Saccharomyces cerevisiae S288C: one gene and its partners. The gene in region 3 interacts genetically with the main gene of each other region. Each region holds a gene or a part of one and is shown on either strand. Other genes may lie near its edges.

What was found. Genes that interact genetically often act in the same process or in processes that back each other up.
Region 1: mutations in CNE1 (region 3) and CWH41 together harm fitness more than expected from each alone (negative genetic interaction), as found in Saccharomyces cerevisiae (5 studies listed by BioGRID, with this or other methods).
Region 2: mutations in CNE1 (region 3) and GAS1 together harm fitness more than expected from each alone (negative genetic interaction), as found in Saccharomyces cerevisiae (5 studies listed by BioGRID).

The regions. Positions count from the first base shown.
Region 1 is NC_001139.9:442,982-447,837, reverse strand, and holds CWH41 (mannosyl-oligosaccharide glucosidase), read left to right. Parts: upstream 1-1,694; coding exon 1,695-4,196; downstream 4,197-4,856. Other genes in the region: tryptophan synthase TRP5, read left to right, coding at 1-1,426. UniProt on the Saccharomyces cerevisiae protein: Cleaves the distal alpha 1,2-linked glucose residue from the Glc(3)Man(9)GlcNAc(2) oligosaccharide precursor highly specifically. Seems to play a role in beta-1,6-glucan synthesis.
Region 2 is NC_001145.3:885,491-889,342, forward strand, and holds GAS1 (1,3-beta-glucanosyltransferase GAS1), read left to right. Parts: upstream 1-1,512; coding exon 1,513-3,192; downstream 3,193-3,852. Other genes in the region: FKS3 (putative 1,3-beta-D-glucan synthase), read left to right, coding at 1-1,026; importin PSE1, read right to left, coding at 3,462-3,852.
Region 3 is NC_001133.9:35,468-39,472, forward strand, and holds CNE1 (calnexin), read left to right. Parts: upstream 1-1,996; coding exon 1,997-3,505; downstream 3,506-4,005. Other genes in the region: BDH1 ((R,R)-butanediol dehydrogenase), read left to right, coding at 1-836; ECM1 (Ecm1p), read left to right, coding at 1,042-1,680; GPB2 (Gpb2p), read left to right, coding at 3,792-4,005. UniProt on the Saccharomyces cerevisiae protein: Interacts with newly synthesized monoglucosylated glycoproteins in the endoplasmic reticulum. It may act in assisting protein assembly and/or in the retention within the ER of unassembled protein subunits.

The DNA.
Region 1 (4,856 bases), on a different chromosome or scaffold from region 3:
GATTGGTTCCAAAATCGTCACATTATGTGGAGATGCTCCAGAGGGCAAAAGGTACGACGTTGCTAAGGAATATGTACAGGGAATTCTAAATGGTGCTAAGCATAAGGTTCTGTCCAAGGACGAATTCTTTGCCTTTCAAAAAGAGTCCTTGAAGTCCGCAAACGTTAAGAAGGAAATACTGGACGAATTTGATGAAAATCACAAGCACCCAATTAGATTTGGGGACTTTGGTGGTCAGTATGTCCCAGAAGCTCTTCATGCATGTCTAAGAGAGTTGGAAAAGGGTTTTGATGAAGCTGTCGCCGATCCCACATTCTGGGAAGACTTCAAATCCTTGTATTCTTATATTGGCCGTCCTTCTTCACTACACAAAGCTGAGAGATTAACTGAGCATTGTCAAGGTGCTCAAATCTGGTTGAAGAGAGAAGATCTTAACCACACGGGATCTCACAAGATCAACAATGCTTTAGCACAAGTTCTTCTAGCTAAAAGATTAGGCAAGAAGAACGTTATTGCTGAAACCGGTGCTGGTCAACACGGTGTTGCCACTGCCACTGCATGTGCTAAATTTGGCTTAACCTGTACTGTGTTCATGGGTGCAGAAGATGTTCGTCGCCAAGCTTTAAACGTCTTCAGAATGAGAATTCTCGGTGCTAAAGTAATTGCTGTTACTAATGGTACAAAGACTCTAAGAGACGCTACTTCAGAGGCATTCAGATTTTGGGTTACTAACTTGAAAACTACTTACTACGTCGTCGGTTCTGCCATTGGTCCTCACCCATATCCAACTTTGGTTAGAACTTTCCAAAGTGTCATTGGTAAAGAAACCAAGGAACAGTTTGCTGCCATGAACAATGGTAAATTACCTGACGCAGTTGTTGCATGTGTTGGGGGTGGTTCCAACTCTACAGGTATGTTTTCACCATTCGAGCATGATACTTCCGTTAAGTTATTGGGTGTGGAAGCCGGTGGTGATGGTGTAGATACAAAGTTCCACTCTGCTACTCTAACTGCCGGTAGACCTGGTGTCTTCCATGGTGTCAAGACTTATGTCTTGCAAGATAGTGATGGTCAAGTCCATGATACTCATTCTGTTTCTGCTGGGTTAGACTACCCAGGTGTCGGTCCAGAATTGGCATATTGGAAATCTACTGGCCGTGCTCAATTCATTGCAGCTACTGACGCTCAGGCTCTGCTTGGCTTTAAATTATTATCTCAATTAGAAGGTATTATTCCCGCTTTGGAATCTTCTCATGCTGTTTATGGCGCTTGCGAATTGGCTAAGACGATGAAGCCTGATCAACATTTGGTTATCAATATTTCTGGTAGAGGTGATAAAGATGTCCAAAGTGTCGCTGAAGTCTTGCCGAAATTAGGTCCAAAGATAGGTTGGGATTTGAGATTCGAAGAAGACCCATCTGCCTAATGAGTAATATCTGATAAGGAACGCTTTTATTTAGCTTTTTAACTACATAGACGAATATAATATACGATCGGGATACATTAGCATATTCAGCTCTTTTACCTCTCAATTTGCTCAAGATTAGTATCGTGACCAATTTTAGATCATTTCGGTCAGAACAGCCACATTTTCGCGTAATTTAAAAGTTCAATTATTGTATGCGTGACACACTATATTAGCGTCAACTGTTAATAAGGAAGTAGTGGATAATAACGGTTCAGGTTGCTTCACAATGCTTATTTCAAAATCTAAGATGTTTAAAACATTTTGGATACTAACCAGCATAGTTCTCCTGGCATCTGCCACCGTTGATATTAGTAAACTACAAGAATTCGAAGAATATCAAAAGTTCACGAATGAATCTTTACTGTGGGCACCGTATAGATCCAATTGTTACTTTGGTATGAGGCCCAGATATGTCCATGAAAGTCCACTAATTATGGGTATCATGTGGTTCAACAGTTTGAGTCAGGATGGCTTACATTCGTTAAGACATTTTGCAACGCCTCAGGATAAATTGCAAAAGTATGGTTGGGAAGTGTATGATCCAAGAATTGGTGGTAAAGAAGTTTTTATTGATGAAAAAAATAACTTGAACTTGACTGTTTATTTTGTAAAGAGCAAGAACGGGGAAAATTGGTCAGTGAGAGTTCAAGGTGAGCCTTTGGATCCCAAGAGACCATCTACAGCATCTGTCGTATTGTACTTTAGTCAAAATGGTGGCGAGATAGATGGAAAATCTTCCTTAGCAATGATAGGTCATGACGGCCCTAATGACATGAAATTCTTCGGATATTCTAAAGAATTAGGCGAGTATCATCTTACAGTAAAGGACAATTTTGGTCACTACTTCAAAAATCCGGAATATGAAACCATGGAAGTAGCACCAGGAAGTGACTGCTCTAAAACAAGTCATTTATCACTTCAAATCCCGGATAAAGAAGTTTGGAAGGCTCGTGATGTTTTCCAATCTCTAGTTAGCGATTCGATACGTGATATACTGGAAAAGGAAGAGACAAAGCAGCGTCCTGCTGATTTAATACCAAGTGTTTTAACTATTAGAAATTTGTACAATTTTAATCCTGGTAATTTTCATTATATACAAAAGACATTTGATTTGACCAAAAAAGATGGGTTCCAATTTGATATCACTTACAATAAACTTGGCACTACTCAAAGTATTTCCACCAGGGAACAAGTTACGGAGTTGATTACTTGGTCACTAAATGAGATAAACGCGCGTTTTGATAAGCAGTTTAGTTTTGGAGAAGGTCCCGACTCAATTGAAAGCGTGGAGGTCAAAAGAAGATTTGCTTTAGAGACGCTATCAAACCTATTAGGAGGAATCGGTTATTTCTATGGGAATCAACTAATTGATCGTGAAACAGAATTTGATGAGAGCCAGTTTACAGAGATCAAACTGCTGAATGCAAAAGAGGAAGGTCCATTTGAACTGTTTACCAGCGTTCCGAGCCGTGGCTTTTTCCCACGTGGATTCTATTGGGATGAAGGTTTCCATCTTCTACAAATTATGGAGTATGATTTTGACCTTGCCTTTGAAATCTTAGCGAGCTGGTTTGAAATGATCGAAGATGATAGTGGTTGGATTGCTAGAGAAATTATACTGGGTAATGAGGCAAGGAGTAAAGTTCCGCAGGAATTTCAGGTGCAAAATCCCAATATTGCTAATCCGCCAACTTTATTGCTAGCATTTAGTGAAATGCTTTCTAGGGCCATTGAAAACATCGGCGATTTCAACAGTGACAGCTACCACCAAGTCATGTTCAATAGTAGGACAGCCAAGTTTATGACGAACAATCTAGAAGCCAATCCTGGCTTGCTAACCGAATATGCCAAGAAAATTTATCCTAAGCTATTGAAGCACTATAATTGGTTCAGAAAATCTCAAACAGGACTTATTGATGAATATGAGGAAATATTGGAAGATGAAGGAATATGGGATAAGATTCATAAGAACGAAGTTTATAGATGGGTTGGGCGTACCTTCACTCATTGTTTGCCAAGCGGTATGGATGACTATCCTAGAGCACAACCACCAGATGTAGCAGAATTGAACGTAGACGCATTAGCATGGGTGGGCGTTATGACAAGATCCATGAAGCAAATTGCTCACGTGTTGAAGTTAACACAGGACGAGCAAAGATATGCACAAATTGAGCAAGAGGTGGTCGAGAATCTGGATTTGTTACACTGGAGTGAAAATGACAATTGCTACTGTGATATTAGCATCGATCCAGAAGACGATGAGATTAGGGAGTTTGTATGTCATGAGGGTTACGTCTCCGTATTGCCCTTTGCATTGAAGCTAATCCCCAAAAACTCACCCAAGCTAGAGAAAGTAGTTGCTTTGATGAGTGACCCAGAAAAAATCTTTTCAGACTACGGGCTGTTATCACTATCGAGACAAGACGACTATTTCGGCAAGGATGAAAACTATTGGAGAGGCCCAATTTGGATGAATATTAATTACTTGTGTCTTGACGCAATGAGATACTACTACCCAGAGGTGATTCTCGACGTGGCTGGTGAGGCTAGCAATGCCAAGAAACTGTACCAAAGTTTAAAGATTAATCTCAGTAACAACATATACAAAGTTTGGGAAGAACAAGGTTATTGTTATGAAAATTACAGTCCGATAGATGGTCATGGTACTGGTGCTGAGCATTTCACAGGCTGGACAGCACTTGTTGTCAACATCCTTGGACGCTTCTGAATCTATGTAGATATTTTCAGTCATATAAACAGATATGTAACCAGATATGTACCAGTATGCAGGATGAAAATTATAAATGTTCCAGCTATTCGAAAAGGGCCTCGCATCTCTTAGTTAGAGCCAGCATTTTCAGCTTTTTTTTTCTCGCGTTTATTTACATTTCGATGCGGCTGTGAGAAAAAGTTAAAAAATCGTGGAAACCAGCAACTGGTAACTAGCAGTCTGGGCCATTGCAGCTAAAAGCCAGACAAATAAACAATCGAAAACACACTCGAAACATGCATTATGAAATGTCACATTTTTTTTTTTCTTTTGGGGATTAATGGTTGCGAAGTGAGGTCTTTTCTATTTACTGCGGTAAGATGAATAAAAGTTAGGGAATGTTATTGTTTACAAGCTGGATACTAGATCTCAAAATGTTAAAGTGTAAGGACTGACAACAAAATATGCTGCACCGAAAACAAATTAAGAATCTGAGGAGGGACTATTTAAGTGGAAAGAAAATTGAAGTTCAATGATCGTGTTTTCCTTCTGCTTATCCAAATACACTGTTATATATTAAGGCAACAGTACTATAATCGTCAGTTACGCAACAAAGACAGTCCACTCTTTTAGAAGAATAAGCCTTTACTGACATACCTCCACTGTAATAAATCTATT
Region 2 (3,852 bases), on a different chromosome or scaffold from region 3:
AGATTTACGGGCTATAAAAGTAAAACTGTAGATGATATTTCCGAAGATTCAGGCCATGATTCAAAGAAAGCGAGGTTTTGGAACGTCTTCTTTGCAGAACTATTTCTACCTTTCTGTGTGTTCCTCTTCAACTTCACCGCTTTTTCTTTCATTAATGCACAAACAGGGGTCTCTGACTCAACACCAACTAGCGCTGTTTTCCGTTTGTTGCTCGTAACTTTTTTGCCAATCTTTCTTAACTCAATAGTGCTTTTTCTATTATTTTGGGTTTCACTTTTTGTGGTTCCTGGATTGTCATATTGTTGTAAAGACGCAGGTGCCGTGATTGCGTTTATTGCACACACTTTCTCGGTTTTGGTCTATCTTTTAGATTTCGAACTGATGTGGTTCTTACAAGGTTGGAACTTTACCCGTACATTGATACTGCTTATTACGTGCATCAATATGCATCTGATTCTTTTCAAGGTCTTTACGACGATATTCTTGACAAGGGAGTATAAAAACAATAAGGCACATTTGGCATGGTGGAATGGTAAATGGTACAATACGGGCATGGGCTGGTCTATCATTTTACAGCCCATACGAGAATACTTCGTGAAGATTATGGAATCTAGTTATTTTGCAGCAGATTTCTTTCTTGGTCACTTCCTCTTATTTATACAAACGCCCATAATATTGTTACCATTTATCGATTACTGGCATACAATGGTGCTATTTTGGATGAATCCAAGAAGTATTATCGCGCATAAAAGAATTTTGACTCGAAAGCAGAGAGCATTAAGAAGTAGGATAGTTTCAAAATATTTCTCTCTATATTTTGTGATGCTAGGTGTGCTCCTTTTTATGCTCATCGCGCCATTCTTTGCTGGTGATTTCGTATCTAGTCCGCAAGAATTGCTGGAAGGCACCCTTTTCGAAGGAATCTTCCAACCTAACAACCAAAACAACAACGATACTGGTCCAAATGCTCCATCGACAATCCTGACTACAACACCAACTTTACCTACCTTTAGGACTGTCGCATAGGGATAAAAAAAAAAAGTTATTTTGAGTAGCTGATAAAGCGAGCTGGTGCCTATCATAGCCGGCTCAGACTTTTTATGAATTCACAGGCCAGCCCTGGCTATTCTTTTGCGTACTTTTAGTTCGATATATTTTCGCGGCTCGCGTTTTGTTTGCTTCTTATTTTACACTGAGTTTTCGTGCCGCAAACGTGGAGATGGGAAAAAGAAAAGTCGGGAAAATAATGAGAAATTTCTACTTTTGGTATTCCTCATACAGCCTGCGCGGTTTATTAGTAAAATACCCGATAATCCTCGAGGTTTGAAAAACTTTTCCCTCTACTACTGTTGACACGGATTTTTTTATTTAAGAGGAAAAGTCGTGGTTGTTTTCCTCGAACAAATTAGATATCCATAAATAGTTGTGTCGTTTTATTAAGCTATTTCAAAATCAGTTTTTATTTTTAAAGTCTGATAAAACAAAAACAACAAACACAGCTAAATCTCAACAATGTTGTTTAAATCCCTTTCAAAGTTAGCAACCGCTGCTGCTTTTTTTGCTGGCGTCGCAACTGCGGACGATGTTCCAGCGATTGAAGTTGTTGGTAATAAGTTTTTCTACTCCAACAACGGTAGTCAGTTCTACATAAGAGGTGTTGCTTATCAGGCTGATACCGCTAATGAAACTAGCGGATCTACTGTCAACGATCCTTTGGCCAATTATGAGAGTTGTTCCAGAGATATTCCATACCTCAAAAAATTGAACACAAATGTTATCCGTGTCTACGCTATCAATACCACTCTAGATCACTCCGAATGTATGAAGGCTTTGAATGATGCTGACATCTATGTCATCGCTGATTTAGCAGCTCCAGCCACCTCTATCAATAGAGACGATCCAACTTGGACTGTTGACTTGTTCAACAGCTACAAAACCGTTGTTGACACTTTTGCTAATTACACCAACGTTTTGGGTTTCTTCGCCGGTAATGAAGTTACTAACAATTACACCAACACAGATGCATCTGCTTTCGTGAAGGCAGCTATTAGAGACGTCAGACAATACATCAGCGACAAGAACTACAGAAAAATTCCAGTTGGCTACTCTTCCAATGATGACGAAGATACCAGAGTTAAGATGACTGATTATTTCGCTTGTGGTGATGATGATGTTAAGGCTGATTTTTACGGTATTAATATGTATGAATGGTGTGGTAAATCTGACTTCAAAACTTCTGGTTATGCTGATAGAACTGCAGAATTCAAAAACTTATCTATTCCTGTTTTCTTCTCTGAATACGGTTGTAACGAAGTAACACCAAGACTATTTACTGAGGTTGAAGCCTTGTACGGTTCTAATATGACAGATGTCTGGTCTGGTGGTATCGTATACATGTACTTCGAAGAGACTAACAAATACGGTTTAGTTAGCATCGATGGTAATGATGTTAAAACTTTGGATGACTTCAACAACTATTCTTCTGAAATCAACAAAATATCACCAACTTCCGCCAACACAAAGTCTTACAGTGCAACAACAAGTGATGTTGCTTGTCCAGCTACTGGTAAGTACTGGTCCGCTGCAACAGAATTACCACCAACTCCAAACGGAGGCTTGTGTTCATGTATGAATGCAGCCAATAGTTGTGTTGTTTCCGATGACGTTGATTCTGATGATTACGAAACCTTATTTAACTGGATCTGTAATGAAGTCGACTGTAGCGGTATTTCAGCAAACGGTACCGCCGGTAAGTATGGTGCTTACTCTTTCTGTACACCAAAGGAACAGCTATCTTTCGTTATGAATTTGTACTACGAGAAGAGTGGTGGTAGCAAATCTGACTGTAGCTTCAGCGGTTCTGCCACTCTACAAACTGCCACCACGCAAGCTAGTTGCTCCTCCGCTTTGAAAGAGATTGGTAGTATGGGTACCAACTCTGCATCAGGTAGTGTTGATTTGGGTTCCGGAACTGAATCCAGTACTGCCTCTTCTAACGCTTCGGGGTCTTCTTCCAAGTCTAACTCCGGCTCTTCTGGTTCTTCCAGTTCTTCTTCTTCTTCTTCAGCTTCATCTTCATCTTCTAGCAAGAAGAATGCTGCCACCAACGTTAAAGCTAACTTAGCACAAGTGGTCTTTACCTCCATCATTTCCTTATCCATTGCCGCTGGTGTCGGTTTTGCTTTGGTTTAAAAAGCTTCGACACATACATAATAACTCGATAAGGTATGGTATCTTATTTCATTGTGGGGTAGTTTTTACGAAAAAAATGAAAAGTTGTAAGTATAGTATATATTTTTTTTCTATGTAAGTTTTATAAGATTCTATTCGCTATTACCACCGGTAAATTAAAAAGAACACTATTGTTACATTATATGTTTTTAAATCATCAAAAAAGACAATATTCATTTAATATTCCTTATAGAACTACTTAACATTGTTCTTCTTTCTATTAAACGTCTTTATGCAAACCATTTATGTACTTTCTCCATAATATCAGCTGGATATCTATTGAAAATTGCCATAGCATCACTAGAAGGCAAAAATCCCAACAACTTTTTAACTGAACTTATCACCGTTTGGCCTTCCCTTTCGGTCAAACTTCTCTCATTCAAGGCTTGTATGACTGAATCAACTACAGCGGAGATATTAGATTGAGCACACACAATTGGCGAATTATTTTCAATCAATTGACTCAAAAATTGATAGTTGAATGAGGCAGCTTCTTTGTCAGTTATTGTTGGTAACGTTTTGAACCAATTAGCCGTGTACGTGTCTACGTTAGGAATGTTGGAATTGTATGCATAAAGAATTTTGGCGATGGCTGCACTGGCATTCTCTGTTGAAGAACGA
Region 3 (4,005 bases):
ACCTGCATTGCTGGCCACACTCCAAATTTTACAATTCCAAACCATGTGATGCTTGTCAGAGGGGCAGTGAAAATCTATGTACCCACGCCGGTTTTGTAGGACTAGGTGTGATCAGTGGTGGCTTTGCTGAACAAGTCGTAGTCTCTCAACATCACATTATCCCGGTTCCAAAGGAAATTCCTCTAGATGTGGCTGCTTTAGTTGAGCCTCTTTCTGTCACCTGGCATGCTGTTAAGATTTCTGGTTTCAAAAAAGGCAGTTCAGCCTTGGTTCTTGGTGCAGGTCCCATTGGGTTGTGTACCATTTTGGTACTTAAGGGAATGGGGGCTAGTAAAATTGTAGTGTCTGAAATTGCAGAGAGAAGAATAGAAATGGCCAAGAAACTGGGCGTTGAGGTGTTCAATCCCTCCAAGCACGGTCATAAATCTATAGAGATACTACGTGGTTTGACCAAGAGCCATGATGGGTTTGATTACAGTTATGATTGTTCTGGTATTCAAGTTACTTTCGAAACCTCTTTGAAGGCATTAACATTCAAGGGGACAGCCACCAACATTGCAGTTTGGGGTCCAAAACCTGTCCCATTCCAACCAATGGATGTGACTCTCCAAGAGAAAGTTATGACTGGTTCGATCGGCTATGTTGTCGAAGACTTCGAAGAAGTTGTTCGTGCCATCCACAACGGAGACATCGCCATGGAAGATTGTAAGCAACTAATCACTGGTAAGCAAAGGATTGAGGACGGTTGGGAAAAGGGATTCCAAGAGTTGATGGATCACAAGGAATCCAACGTTAAGATTCTATTGACGCCTAACAATCACGGTGAAATGAAGTAATGACAAAATAATATTTGGGGCCCCTCGCGGCTCATTTGTAGTATCTAAGATTATGTATTTTCTTTTATAATATTTGTTGTTATGAAACAGACAGAAGTAAGTTTCTGCGACTATATTATTTTTTTTTTTCTTCTTTTTTTTTCCTTTATTCAACTTGGCGATGAGCTGAAAATTTTTTTGGTTAAGGACCCTTTAGAAGTATTGAATGTGGGAACAAAGACGACAAAAGGTAGTTTTTTCCTTGACTATACTGGTAAGATATCGTCTAAAACAAAGCATGGCCAAGAAAATATCAAAGAATTCAAGAGCTGCTAGACAATCGGATGCTCTTGAACCAGAGGTAAAGGATTTAAGTGAACTACCTAGAGCTGAAAAAACCGATTTGACTAATATTTTGATTAGAACAGCAGCCAAGAATGAGGCATTGCTGGAAGCAAAGATATCTAAGAAAGCCAATAAAAGTAAGAGGGGCAAGAAGTTAAATAAAAAGGCTCTGGAAGACAAACTGGCCAACTCTATTTCATCCATGGACAGGGATCGTTTAGTGAAGGCCTTGAATTTTACCAATCGTCTGGACGGTAAAATTGCCAAGTCCATTTCTCGTGCCAAGTACATTCAAAATACAAGAAAGGCTGGCTGGGATAGCACCAATGAGACTATAAAAAAAGAGCTGGCTTTTTTGAACGGAGGGTTGTCTGTGCAGGCAAAAAGTGCTAGTGAAGGTAATGCTGAAAAGGAAGATGAGGAGATCCCAGAAGTTTTTGACTCTTTAGCAGAGGATAACACAGTGCAGAAGACTCCTACAAATAGATTCGGTGTCCTGCCAGACGATGTTGAAGAATAGAAAATTTTCATATGAAAGGTCCTAGGAATACACGATTCTTGTACGCATTCTTCTTTTTTCTATCTTCTTTCATTCTTTGTACATTAGATAACATGGTTTTAGCTTAGTTTTATTTTATTTTTTATATATCTGGATGTATACTATTATTGAAAAACTTCATTAATAGTTACAACTTTTTCAATATCAAGTTGATTAAGAAAAAGAAAATTATTATGGGTTAGCTGAAAACCGTGTGATGCATGTCGTTTAAGGATTGTGTAAAAAAGTGAACGGCAACGCATTTCTAATATAGATAACGGCCACACAAAGTAGTACTATGAAATTTTCTGCGTATTTATGGTGGCTGTTTTTGAATCTAGCGTTGGTGAAAGGCACTTCATTGCTATCCAACGTTACATTAGCGGAAGATTCTTTCTGGGAGCATTTTCAGGCTTACACTAATACAAAGCATTTAAACCAAGAGTGGATCACAAGTGAAGCCGTCAACAATGAAGGCTCTAAAATATATGGTGCACAATGGCGACTATCACAGGGTCGATTGCAAGGATCCGCATGGGATAAAGGAATCGCAGTTCGAACAGGCAATGCCGCAGCTATGATAGGACATCTCTTGGAGACACCTATTAATGTTTCAGAAACGGATACCTTGGTTGTCCAGTACGAAATTAAGTTGGACAATTCTTTGACGTGCGGCGGTGCGTTTATTAAGTTAATGTCTGGTTTCATGAATGTTGAAGCATTAAAACACTATGCACCCGATACAGAGGGTGTCGAGTTAGTTTTTGGTCCGGATTATTGTGCTCCTGAAATAAATGGCGTGCAATTTGCCATCAATAAGGTTGACAAGATCACACATGAATCTAAACTAAGATATTTGCAAGAGATGCCCCTGTCAAAATTAACTGATACCTCGCAATCTCATCTGTATACGCTCATAATAGATGAATCAGCGCAGTCTTTTCAAATTCTTATAGACGGTAAGACGGTTATGGTAAGAGAACATATCGAAGACAAGAAAAAGGTCAATTTTGAGCCACCCATTACACCGCCTTTAATGATTCCTGATGTTTCAGTAGCGAAACCGCATGATTGGGATGATCGCATCCGAATCCCAGATCCTGAGGCGGTGAAGCTCAGTGATCGGGATGAACGAGACCCATTGATGATTCCACATCCAGATGGCACTGAACCACCAGAATGGAACAGCTCCATCCCCGAATACATTCTTGACCCAAATGCTCAAAAGCCCTCGTGGTGGAAGGAACTTGAGCACGGGGAATGGATACCGCCCATGATTAAAAATCCTCTTTGCACTGCAGAACGTGGTTGTGGCCAGCAGATACCAGGGCTGATAAATAATGCCAAGTACAAAGGTCCAGGCGAACTCAATGAAATCATAAATCCCAATTACATGGGGGAATGGCATCCACCGGAAATTGAAAACCCGCTATACTACGAAGAGCAGCACCCATTGCGCATCGAAAACGTTATCAGTGGTGTGATCCTCGAGTTTTGGAGTGGATCTCCAAACATGTTGATAAGCAACATTTATGTTGGTAAAAATGTAACAGAGGCGCAAATTATTGGGAATAAGACTTGGCTGATGAGAGACCGCGCGTTTAGAGGCTCCGATGGCCCCACAGAACGCAAATTCATGAATAGCAGACTAGGAAATCTACAAACAACTTTCCATAACGAAAGAGAATCCCCTAATCCATTTGACCGCATTATAGATCGCATATTAGAGCAACCTCTGAAATTTGTGCTTACTGCGGCCGTCGTGCTCTTGACGACGTCGGTTCTTTGTTGTGTAGTATTTACATAGTGGACAAGTGTTAGTTTATAACATGGTCTCAATAATTGCACCACAACGGCTTCTCTTTTATAGATGGTTAACATTATAGTATCAATATTATCATCATGATTAAATGATGATGTATAATACTTACCCGATGTTAAATCTTATTTTTTCATGCAGTAAGTAATCATGCAACAAGAAAAACCCGTAATTAAGCGAACATAGAACAACTAGCATCCCCGATAAGACGGAATAGAATAGTAAAGATTGTGATTCATTGGCAGGTCCATTGTCGCATTACTAAATCATAGGCATGGAAATTTCCAGTTCACCATGGAACGACGGTGGATACAGCCCCTATGAGAGAAACAGAGTCGCTGTATCACCATTTTCATCAGCGTTGGAAGGCGAAGAACGAATAGAAACCTCTCGATCTTTGGGTGATCATTGCTTTGAACCTTTGCCATACGTGACGAATTATCTTTCTATTTTCGCGCTTTTTGGTAAAGAGATATTTGGTGACAAGG